Saccharomyces cerevisiae S288C: one gene and its partners. Changing the gene in region 3 together with the main gene of any one other region gives a genetic interaction. Each region holds a gene or a part of one and is shown on either strand. Other genes may lie near its edges. The genes, in order: SAP30, HTZ1 and SPT8.

Evidence for each region.
Region 1: mutations in SPT8 (region 3) and SAP30 together harm fitness more than expected from each alone (negative genetic interaction), as found in Saccharomyces cerevisiae (4 studies listed by BioGRID, with this or other methods).
Region 2: mutations in SPT8 (region 3) and HTZ1 are lethal when combined (synthetic lethality), as found in Saccharomyces cerevisiae (8 studies listed by BioGRID, with this or other methods).

Annotation. Positions count from the first base shown.
Region 1 is NC_001145.3:793,039-796,186, reverse strand, and holds SAP30 (Sap30p), read right to left. Parts: upstream 1,269-3,148; coding exon 663-1,268; downstream 1-662. Other genes in the region: CUE1 (Cue1p), read right to left, coding at 1-382; YMR262W (putative endodeoxyribonuclease), read right to left, coding at 1,520-2,461; TPS3 (trehalose 6-phosphate synthase/phosphatase complex subunit), read left to right, coding at 2,818-3,148. UniProt on the Saccharomyces cerevisiae protein: Component of the RPD3C(L) histone deacetylase complex (HDAC) responsible for the deacetylation of lysine residues on the N-terminal part of the core histones (H2A, H2B, H3 and H4).
Region 2 is NC_001147.6:302,917-305,649, forward strand, and holds HTZ1 (histone H2AZ), read right to left. Parts: upstream 1,068-2,733; coding exon 663-1,067; downstream 1-662. Other genes in the region: E3 ubiquitin-protein ligase HRD1, read right to left, coding at 1-119; PLB3 (lysophospholipase), read left to right, coding at 2,433-2,733. UniProt on the Saccharomyces cerevisiae protein: Variant histone H2A which can replace H2A in some nucleosomes. Nucleosomes wrap and compact DNA into chromatin, limiting DNA accessibility to the cellular machineries which require DNA as a template.
Region 3 is NC_001144.5:251,042-254,803, forward strand, and holds SPT8 (SAGA complex subunit SPT8), read right to left. Parts: upstream 2,040-3,762; coding exon 231-2,039; downstream 1-230. Other genes in the region: ERG3 (C-5 sterol desaturase), read left to right, coding at 2,820-3,762. UniProt on the Saccharomyces cerevisiae protein: Component of the transcription coactivator SAGA complex. SAGA acts as a general cofactor required for essentially all RNA polymerase II transcription. At the promoters, SAGA is required for transcription pre-initiation complex (PIC) recruitment.

The DNA of each region.
Region 1 (3,148 bases), on a different chromosome or scaffold from region 3:
CAACAGCCGCATTGGCCCCCATTGGCGCCCTGGAGGGCTCAAACCCAGGTGGAAAGCTGAATTCATCACCACGCAAGTACCTTTCCACTGTTTCCTCGACTGAGCCTGTGTTTTCCAAACTATACCTAATTTGCTCAGGATGTAAGTTAGGGGCTAGATTTTGCACTGTTTCCACCATCTGAGTAGTCACGGGGTGACCTCCATTGACTCTACCAGTCCTTCTCAAGGCATTCTGCGTGGAGCCCTGAGGACGTCCGTGTGCGTTTACACCTGTAGCGGATAAGCGTTGTGCTGAGGGATGCTGATTACTTTGGAAGAATTTTTTCAGAAATATAACTCCAAACACAAGAATCAAAGTGATAAGCAATCTCGAATCCTCCATGGCCAAAAGAAAAAAGTTTGCGCGATCGTAGATTGTAATGCTTTATGGCGCCTTTTATAAGAAATAGGTTGATGAGTTGTCTATTCAATGCATCAATGACAGGCCCACCTCAGTTATATTAGATCGTTTAAAATGGCGCGACAGCTACCCGCACCGTATACAAAAAGGCATTAAACTAAATGGAATACTAGCAAATAAACAAGTGTTACTGTCCATTTTAACAATTACCACCTTAAAAGTTTACATAACTTATACACAAAAGGGCTGCCTCATCGTTTGATCAACCCCGAAATTCCATCTTGAATTTCTTCTTCTGGTTTTTTACCTTGTATATAAATTGCGGTATGCAATCTGTCTCTTTAATGGAATGCTCATCGAAATGCCTTCTCACCACGTTGGCCAGGTCTCTCTTATGTATCCTTTTATCGTGCTGCCCCTGTGTGTTCCTCTTGTATGAATAAGTCTTCGCGCCCAATTTGGAACCCAATAAGTATCCCTGCAGCGTCAGGTTGTCCGGTACGTCCAATTGAAAGTGGTCTTTATACCTTCTCAGGAACGCATCCGTATACTCTTCGAAATCCATTGGGTGACTCTTGGGGCGCAGATCAGGGTGGTTGTCGGTGATATGTGTCTCTATGAGATTCTTAATGTACTGCTGTTGTGCAGCTGTGAGTCTTTGCTTCCCATTGGTTCTCCCGCTGGAGGTAGGCCCGTTATTGTTATTGCTGTTATTGCTGTTATTATTATTATTATTATTGTTATTATTGTTATTATTGCTGCCATTGTTGTTGTTACAGCTGCCATTGTTGTTACTTGCGTAACCACCACCCTGAGTGGGTCTGCCTCTCGATTCCGTTTCAGCGTTTGTATTAACTGGCCTAGCCATTACTACTCAGTATATACCTATCCTTCGATTTGCTAAACTATAAAGGAATTGCATTATCACAATAGATACACAACCGCTTTTATATAATTTCTAAGTTAAAATCTGAAAATTTCACAGTATATAAAAAAGAGCGCTTTTTCCCTTCCGGAACGGCGTTGCCTTGCTAAAACACATGCATAGCAAGAAATGGTATACAGCAAGCCTACTTAATATATCTCATTACAGTGCTATGCTGCCACCTCAAAAGCGTTTCACTTGATAAATTTCTGAAAGTTTTCGTATACACGCAAAGCGGCTTGTGAGGCATCCAGTGTCTCGTCCCATGCTCGTGCGATTTGTGCATTCAAATACTGCAGCTGCTCTGTAAGGGCCTTTTGGTATGACGGATCTGGATTGTCAATAGGATAGTCGGTTTCAGTAAGTATGCAAGTTGAGGGCAAGCTCCTGACCAGGGCATCTCCCTCTTCTGGGTCCTTAAAATTAATCCATTTGGATAGGCTCACAAAAATACGATCCGGGGGAAACTTCTTGAGCCATTGGCCCAGAAGCGTTTCCTTGGAGCCTGTGTACGAATGTAAACATATCTTGACAGAGTGATACGTCAAGAGCTCTTCATTGCAGATATCGTTTAGTTTCCCGTGGCACTTTACATCGTGTATAGAGATGGGCTTGCTTGTGTGCCTTGCCAGTCGGCAAAATCGCCTGAATACTGTTTCTTGATGCGATAGTTTGACCTTCACTGTCGTAAGCCTTGCCTTCTCGTTCTGCATGTAGAAACCATTTGCAGGAAGTCTGAAGAGCTTATCAAGACCGATTTCTCCAATCACACTAACCAAAGTGTCGTTAAACTCTCTTTTTATATACTCTTCAAGATCTAGAGGTTCGGGAAGCACCTGAACCAAACTGTCGAACTGTTCTTCATTCTTATACTCCAGTACATCTTGATAGTGAGAAACCTTGTCGCGCCGACTTCCCACATAAAATAAGTGGCTGTACCAAGGATGCACACCAAATCCCACGCATATATCGTTTTTACTTGTGCTTCTGCCAGCCAATTTTTTCAAATTGTTCCAGTCATATGGGTTTGATGACATAACGCAACGCAACGTACCCTGGGACCCTCCATCATCACCGCAGAATGTGTTGTCTGGGTCGGTTATAACATGACAGTGGGCATCAACAAGTTTATTCATCTACTTCCTCAATGAACAGCGTAGTGTAACACCTAACCTCGATAGAGTTGCAATTGCCAGTCTTCTAAAAGGGCCCTTTCTTCCCTACGTAATCAATTGTCCTCCTGGGCTTCGCGCGGTGCCCCTGGAATTAATTAATCCCCTTCAGCACGCAGCAACGGCAACTCCAGGGAGCATCAAGTGGACGAGCAAACATTCAATAGTATTAAGTCTAAGACATAAGTTTTAAGTACCGTTGCTATTCCGCTTCATCTTTTATCACAATAAAACAGTACAAACGTTATTGCAGGTCCTGGCTTTATAATTTATTGCTTCCTATTCAAAAAACCACAGACTAATAACCACGGGCAACCTCAATGACTATTATCGTCGCTTCTTTATTCTTACCATATACCCCTCAATTCGAGGCTGATGTCACCAACTCGGATACTGCTAAGCTGGTTGAATCAAGTATGATCAAGGTAGACTGCAACAACCAGGAATTGAGCAACAACAAGCAAGAAAGAAGCAGTTCTGTAACTTCGGCAAGCTCTCATTATATTGGCTTACCTCAGGAGGCGCAAATTAACGGTGAACCCTTACAAAGGGCCAATGTGGGCTCTCCTGCTACGGGAGTTAACTATCATAATGAGATGGAAATGCTTTCCTCAGAGCAATTCCTGGAAGAGCTGACTGCCAATGCCACTC
Region 2 (2,733 bases), on a different chromosome or scaffold from region 3:
AGTGTTACTTGCAAAAAGGAAACGCTTGTCTTGGTGGCTGAATACACGCAATAAAATGTGAGCAAATATGTGACAACTACAAAAATTGCCAACTGTTTCCTTCTATTTTCTGGCACCATATTATTATTTTGTCTTTCTCCCCTTCTCTTACAAATTGCAATTGATAGATGATTTTCTGGTTATAAAAAGGAACCAACAAATCGGTAGAAAGTCGACAGTATAACTAGTGGTGAAGCTGTTATTAGAAATGGTAGGGGGGTTTTTTTTTTGTCCTGTCGGCACGTATGGAAATTTATCGTCTATTAAACCTTTTCTTTGATTTGATTTCTACAGTGTACTTTTGTAGGTGTCCTTAATTTCCATTTTTCCGGGTATGCAAAGTTCAACAAAAAGAAAGCCCTGACCAAATTTCTGCGTACATAACGGCTACTGCGCTATCGTTGGGAATATTGTGTGAGAGTATATTTTCATGCTATATATTATAGTAAAAACATAAGAGATTAGACGTGAAAGGAGAGATAGATTACATATATGTATGTATATAACTCGGGTACGGAGAGACAAATTTCAACTTATAATAATGATACAGACGTTAATATGGATAGAATGAGGATACAGGAGCAGGGAGAATTACGGGAAATGGGAAAGAAAAACTATTCTTCTTATTTCTTACTTCCCTTTTTTTCCACTTTCAATAATAATGCTTTATTTATATGAGGCAAAACACCACCTGAAGCAATTGTAGCCCTGATCAAAGAATCTAACTCATCGTCACCTCTAATGGCCAATTGCAGATGTCTTGGGGTAATCCTCTTGACTTTAAGATCCTTGGCTGCATTACCAGCCAACTCCAGCACTTCAGCAGTCAAATATTCCAACACAGCAGTCAAATAAATGGCAGCTTTGGATCCTACTCTTGTTCGGCCGGTAGCGTGCCTTTTCAGGTAACGCTTAATCCTACCGACAGGAAACTGCAAGCCAGCCCTTGCTGAAGAAGATTGAGATCTCAATGAACCACTGTCTTTAGCGCCGGATTTACCTTTACCTCCATGAGCTTTTCCTGACATTATGTTAAGTTATTTTTACGTGCGGCTATAGTGCGAAATTGAATTTAACGATATTTTTTCCGACTGAAGTATAATAGAGTCCGCAGTGTTTTTTAGTTGGGGGTTGTGACTCTATTACACTGGATAATAGTTCAGCTGTTAAATAGAGCTGTATGCTTTATTTGTTGTTTTTTTTGTTTTGTTGTTTTCGTGCACGGAGCGAGCGCGGCGGGTTACGGAACACCAGCGGCCAGTTCTACGAGTAGTAAGTTACGGGCGTAAAGTTACTGTGTGCTAATCTAGCATGGATGCATTCAGTAAACCTTTTCAATTGAGTCTAACGTTCTCTAAAGAAAGAAGAATACTGCTATTTTAGGTATGTGCTTACTACCGCTTGTGCGGACCTGCCCTGATTCCAAGGTAAGAGACAGTGATTCTTGTCCTAAGCTCTTTTCTCCGGGGCGGGCGGGCGGCTGGCAGACATATTGATTGCGGGTAACACCTCCGAGGTTAATTAATCAAGCAACGTGCGGAGTTTTATCACATGGATGTTTCTTATCACCGGGTGCGCGCCACGCAATATATAAAACGGTAAACATACGCTGTTGCAAGGCAAGACACAACAGCGGCAAACACTTCAGAGAATACAGACGATAGTCATCAGCACTCCTAATAATCGTATAATGAATACTATACGAAGCTTTGTGCGTTGCAAAAAGAGCATACCAGGCGAAGAGAGCGCAGTTAGTAGGTGATCGGGAAATTGCTGAGTACAGTTGTTTGCCTCCTGTGATACCGCGTCACATGACCATTTAAAAGTGTCCATAATGTCATCGGTAACGTCACACTCACATGAGTTTTCCTGACTTCAGCCTCCTTCATCTCGCGTTAATACGCCAGCATCGCGCACCATATTACTGCCCGCGTAATCCAATTCCTCCTTTCGTTCTCAATGACTAAAACGCAAATCATTTTTCCTTTTTTTTTGAAACCGGTGGACGCCCCATAGAACTTCCAAATCAGGAAATACCGCAACTTCATCCGTTTTCGTTTCGCTTTAGTCCTCCACGAAAATATCTTGCCGGTTCCGCGAATGTTGTACTGGTTCTTCTGTGCAATGAGCCTTTTTCTCTTCTTTCTTTTTCCCTGCTTTTAAGATGGCTTGGCTATGGAATTACTCAATTTGGCACTTCTTTTGCAAGATCCAGACTTGCAGGGATTCTATCACCATTATTACCACACTACTATGTTATTGTTACGCTTTTCATCCACTTTTATATAAGTTATACGTGGTTTTACGAGTTCTAATATTTCACTTTTCAGCTTGGAATACGCCGTTTTAAGAGGACTAAAAGCAAGGAAATTACACACATAATAATATAAGTAATGATACGTCCATTATGTTCAAAAATTATTATCAGTTACATATTCGCAATTTCTCAGTTTCTACTGGCCGCTAATGCGTGGTCGCCCACAGATAGTTATGTTCCTGGCACCGTGTCGTGTCCCGATGACATAAATCTGGTAAGAGAGGCTACGTCTATATCTCAGAATGAGAGCGCATGGTTGGAAAAGAGGAATAAAGTCACTAGTGTAGCTTTAAAAGATTTCTTGACTAGGGCTACTGCAAATTTTTCAGATAGCTCAGAAGTTTTGTCGAAGCTATTTAATGATGGCAACAGCGAAA
Region 3 (3,762 bases):
TATTTGTATCGTGCGTCTATGTGCTTTTGTTAATATGAAGCGTATTATTAACTCCATTCATTTTACTTTTCATTCAAATTTTGATAGTATAATATGCCTTTGTCTGCCCGGACCCTGAATTACTGACACAAAATGAAGGGATCAGTGGCCCTGAAAAAAAAAAAAAAAAAATAAACGGCGCGCGGAGTAATTATGATTATGATTATGGTTATGATTATTATTACAACTCACTATTCTAAGTCTATATCGTAAATAAGGGTCGTGTCCGTAGAATTCCCCTGCCAGCCTCTGTTGCCACTTGTGCTTATTATAAATCTTGAAGTGGGGTCGAGGTATAAGTTTGATATAATACCACCGTGATGGCCCGGCACGATGAGGAACGGCACTTTAGAACTCTTTGTAGTCGAATTCGAAGCATCTACTGCAATTTCAACGTTGTACAATCTGATATTATCCCGCGATGCACATAGTAAATGCTTGTTATTAGGCATGGCTTTAACACAAGAGACAGGCCCTGAAATAGAAGGCAGTTTCAAATTATGGATAGGTTTCGAGGGCATCTTCAAGTCAAACTGCTCCACACAGGCATTCCTTCTCCCTGCATACACATGATCACCATCTACACCCCAACATGCGGACAAACACCACGGTGGGACGCCTGCACCTCTCTCCAGAGACAATGCTGGCGACTGCGTCATGCGTCGGTCCCAAATATGCACGGAACCGTTCAACCCTGAGGTCATAAAAACGGATTCATCATAGACTATGTTCAAAGATTCTTCAGATATCTGTTCTTTGTTCTCTTCACCATTAGAACCATCCCCCGTCTCGACGGGTTCGTTGCCAGCATCTTGCTTTTCGTCTTCGTCTTCATCACCAAACAGAGAATCCATATCGTCATCTGCATTTTCATTCTCTTTACCACTGTTGACGTTACCGGACACATCCACGGACGAGTACAGCGGCCGCATTTCCAAAGATGACAATTCAGACCTTGATTTTTTAAACTCATTAACTATGTCACCCGTCTGCAAATCCCATTCCAAAAGACGCTTATCCCAGGAACCACTCAAAAACCTGTCCTCTTGACCGTTTAATCTCAGTATGTTAACGATTTGGGTATGTCCATTCCTGCCCTTAAAATAGTGCGCAATGCTCCCCTCCATGTAGCGAACGCCCTGCATGGTAATCCCACCATTCTGTAGCCCGCTCAGTATAAAGAGGCATTCGCTTTGGACTTCCAAAGAATGAACGGGGCTAACTTTGGGCTCGTAATCTGTCTTATTAGCGGAGAGTTTCATTTCTGATTTTTTCTGCGGGATCTCATTTTCCCAGTACGACTGCAAGATACCCGCGTTCTGAATAGACTCAGCCAACGAATGCTTCTGCAGGATAGTTAGAGAAAGTTTCCCCTCAAGCGTGTTCAGCAAGTCGTACTTCCTTATGTATCCATCGCTACCGCCCAAAAACAGGTACTTGAGACCCCTGGACACGGCCAACGCATTGACGTGCGTCTGGATGGGTATGGCTGCCGTGGGGTAGATATTGTACGAATCCGCAATCTGTGCGGCATTCAACATGTGCTTATAGTACTCATAAACCTCTCCATTAGCAGAGGCTTCGTGTGTAGAGGAAGATGCTTCCCTGGACCCCACTCCTCCATCAACATCGCTCAATTTCACATCCTCGGATCCAATCTTAGTAACAGCATCGCCACTATCGCCTGCACCGCCAGCACCAGCAGCAGCAGCCTTTTGCTCATCATGCTGGTGCTCATTCGTCGGTGTAGCAGTCTTATCCATTCTTGCGGCGTCGTCCTCACCATCGTCGTCCTCCTGTTCATCGTCGTCCTCTCGTTCGTCCTCGTCATCATCATCGTCCTCATCATCATCATCGTCATCCTCTTCATCTTCACCACCGTCATCATTCCCCTCGAGGTCCTGCTTTGAGTCGTTTTCCAGCCCACTCAGCATCTCTTCGTCATCCTCCTCGTCATCCACCACCTGGTTGTTAATTAGAATATCGTCAACCTCGTCCATTACGTAAAAGAAGAAAAAAAAAAAAACTGAGCCTTTAGTACACTACAGTTACTGCTACAGCCTTTTACAGCCCAGCATCTGGCACCACTACGCTATAATATATGATGCGTCTATTATGCTAGAATCCTTCCTGAAAGGGCATTCTGGAAGCCCTACGTACAGAGTGACAATATATTAGGGCATCCATAAAAATAGATTAGGGCAGCTCTGCCATTTTTTTCATAGCCGAAAGAAGAAAAACTGAAAAAAAAAATGATACGAAAAAACCGCGAAACGACGCCTTTTGTTGCGATTGTCGGGCATCGCAAGTTACGACGCGTTGTCCCTTGCATCGCTGCCGTGTGGCACGACCCACTGCGGCCTAAACGACCGAGATCGGTGCCCGGGGCAGACCACCCGAAAACTCCCGGGCATTATTTCGGTCGTTTAGTTGCGCCCCAGGGCAACCGGGGTGTATACGAGGCCGATGGCTGCGATAAACGAAAAATTCAGGCTCGTATAAGTGGCACAATAGAAGGTGAAGAAGAACAGCAGGTGCATTGAAACAAGAGGTTCAGCAGCGATCGGGTATTGTTGTTGCTGCTATTATGTAACGGTCGAAAGAAACATCGCGGTATATATTAGAGGCGGATTTCTATCTTTCTTATCAATTCGTTTTTTCATTCACTTGTTCATTCATTCTTTACATTTGTCTTGTTCTTTGAAGTGGTTGCAGAGGAGGTCAGTTTGTTGCATTTGTAAAAAAAGATAATAAGAAAAATATTCGTCTAGATTTGAGATATGGATTTGGTCTTAGAAGTCGCTGACCATTATGTCTTAGACGACTTGTACGCTAAAGTTCTGCCCGCTTCGTTGGCAGCTAATATTCCTGTCAAGTGGCAGAAATTGCTAGGGTTGAACAGTGGGTTCAGCAATTCTACGATTTTGCAGGAGACTTTGAACTCCAAGAATGCCGTCAAAGAATGTAGAAGGTTCTACGGGCAGGTGCCATTCCTGTTTGATATGTCGACGACGTCTTTTGCATCGCTATTGCCTCGTTCCAGCATCTTGAGAGAATTCCTCTCACTATGGGTTATTGTTACGATCTTTGGTTTACTACTTTACTTATTCACGGCTAGTCTCAGCTACGTGTTTGTGTTTGACAAGTCGATTTTCAACCATCCTCGTTACTTGAAAAACCAAATGGCAATGGAAATCAAGTTGGCAGTCAGTGCTATCCCATGGATGTCGATGTTGACCGTTCCATGGTTTGTTATGGAATTGAACGGCCATTCTAAACTATACATGAAGATTGATTATGAAAACCACGGTGTAAGGAAGCTCATTATCGAGTACTTCACTTTCATCTTTTTCACTGATTGCGGTGTGTATTTAGCGCACAGATGGTTGCATTGGCCAAGGGTCTACCGTGCTCTGCACAAGCCTCATCACAAGTGGCTGGTCTGCACACCTTTCGCATCTCATTCTTTCCATCCTGTAGACGGGTTTTTGCAATCCATCTCGTACCACATCTACCCATTGATTCTGCCATTACACAAGGTTTCTTATTTGATTCTGTTCACTTTTGTTAACTTTTGGACTGTTATGATTCATGACGGTCAATACCTATCAAACAATCCTGCCGTCAACGGTACTGCCTGCCACACGGTTCACCATCTATATTTCAACTACAACTACGGTCAATTCACCACTCTGTGGGACAGACTAGGGGGTTCTTACCGTA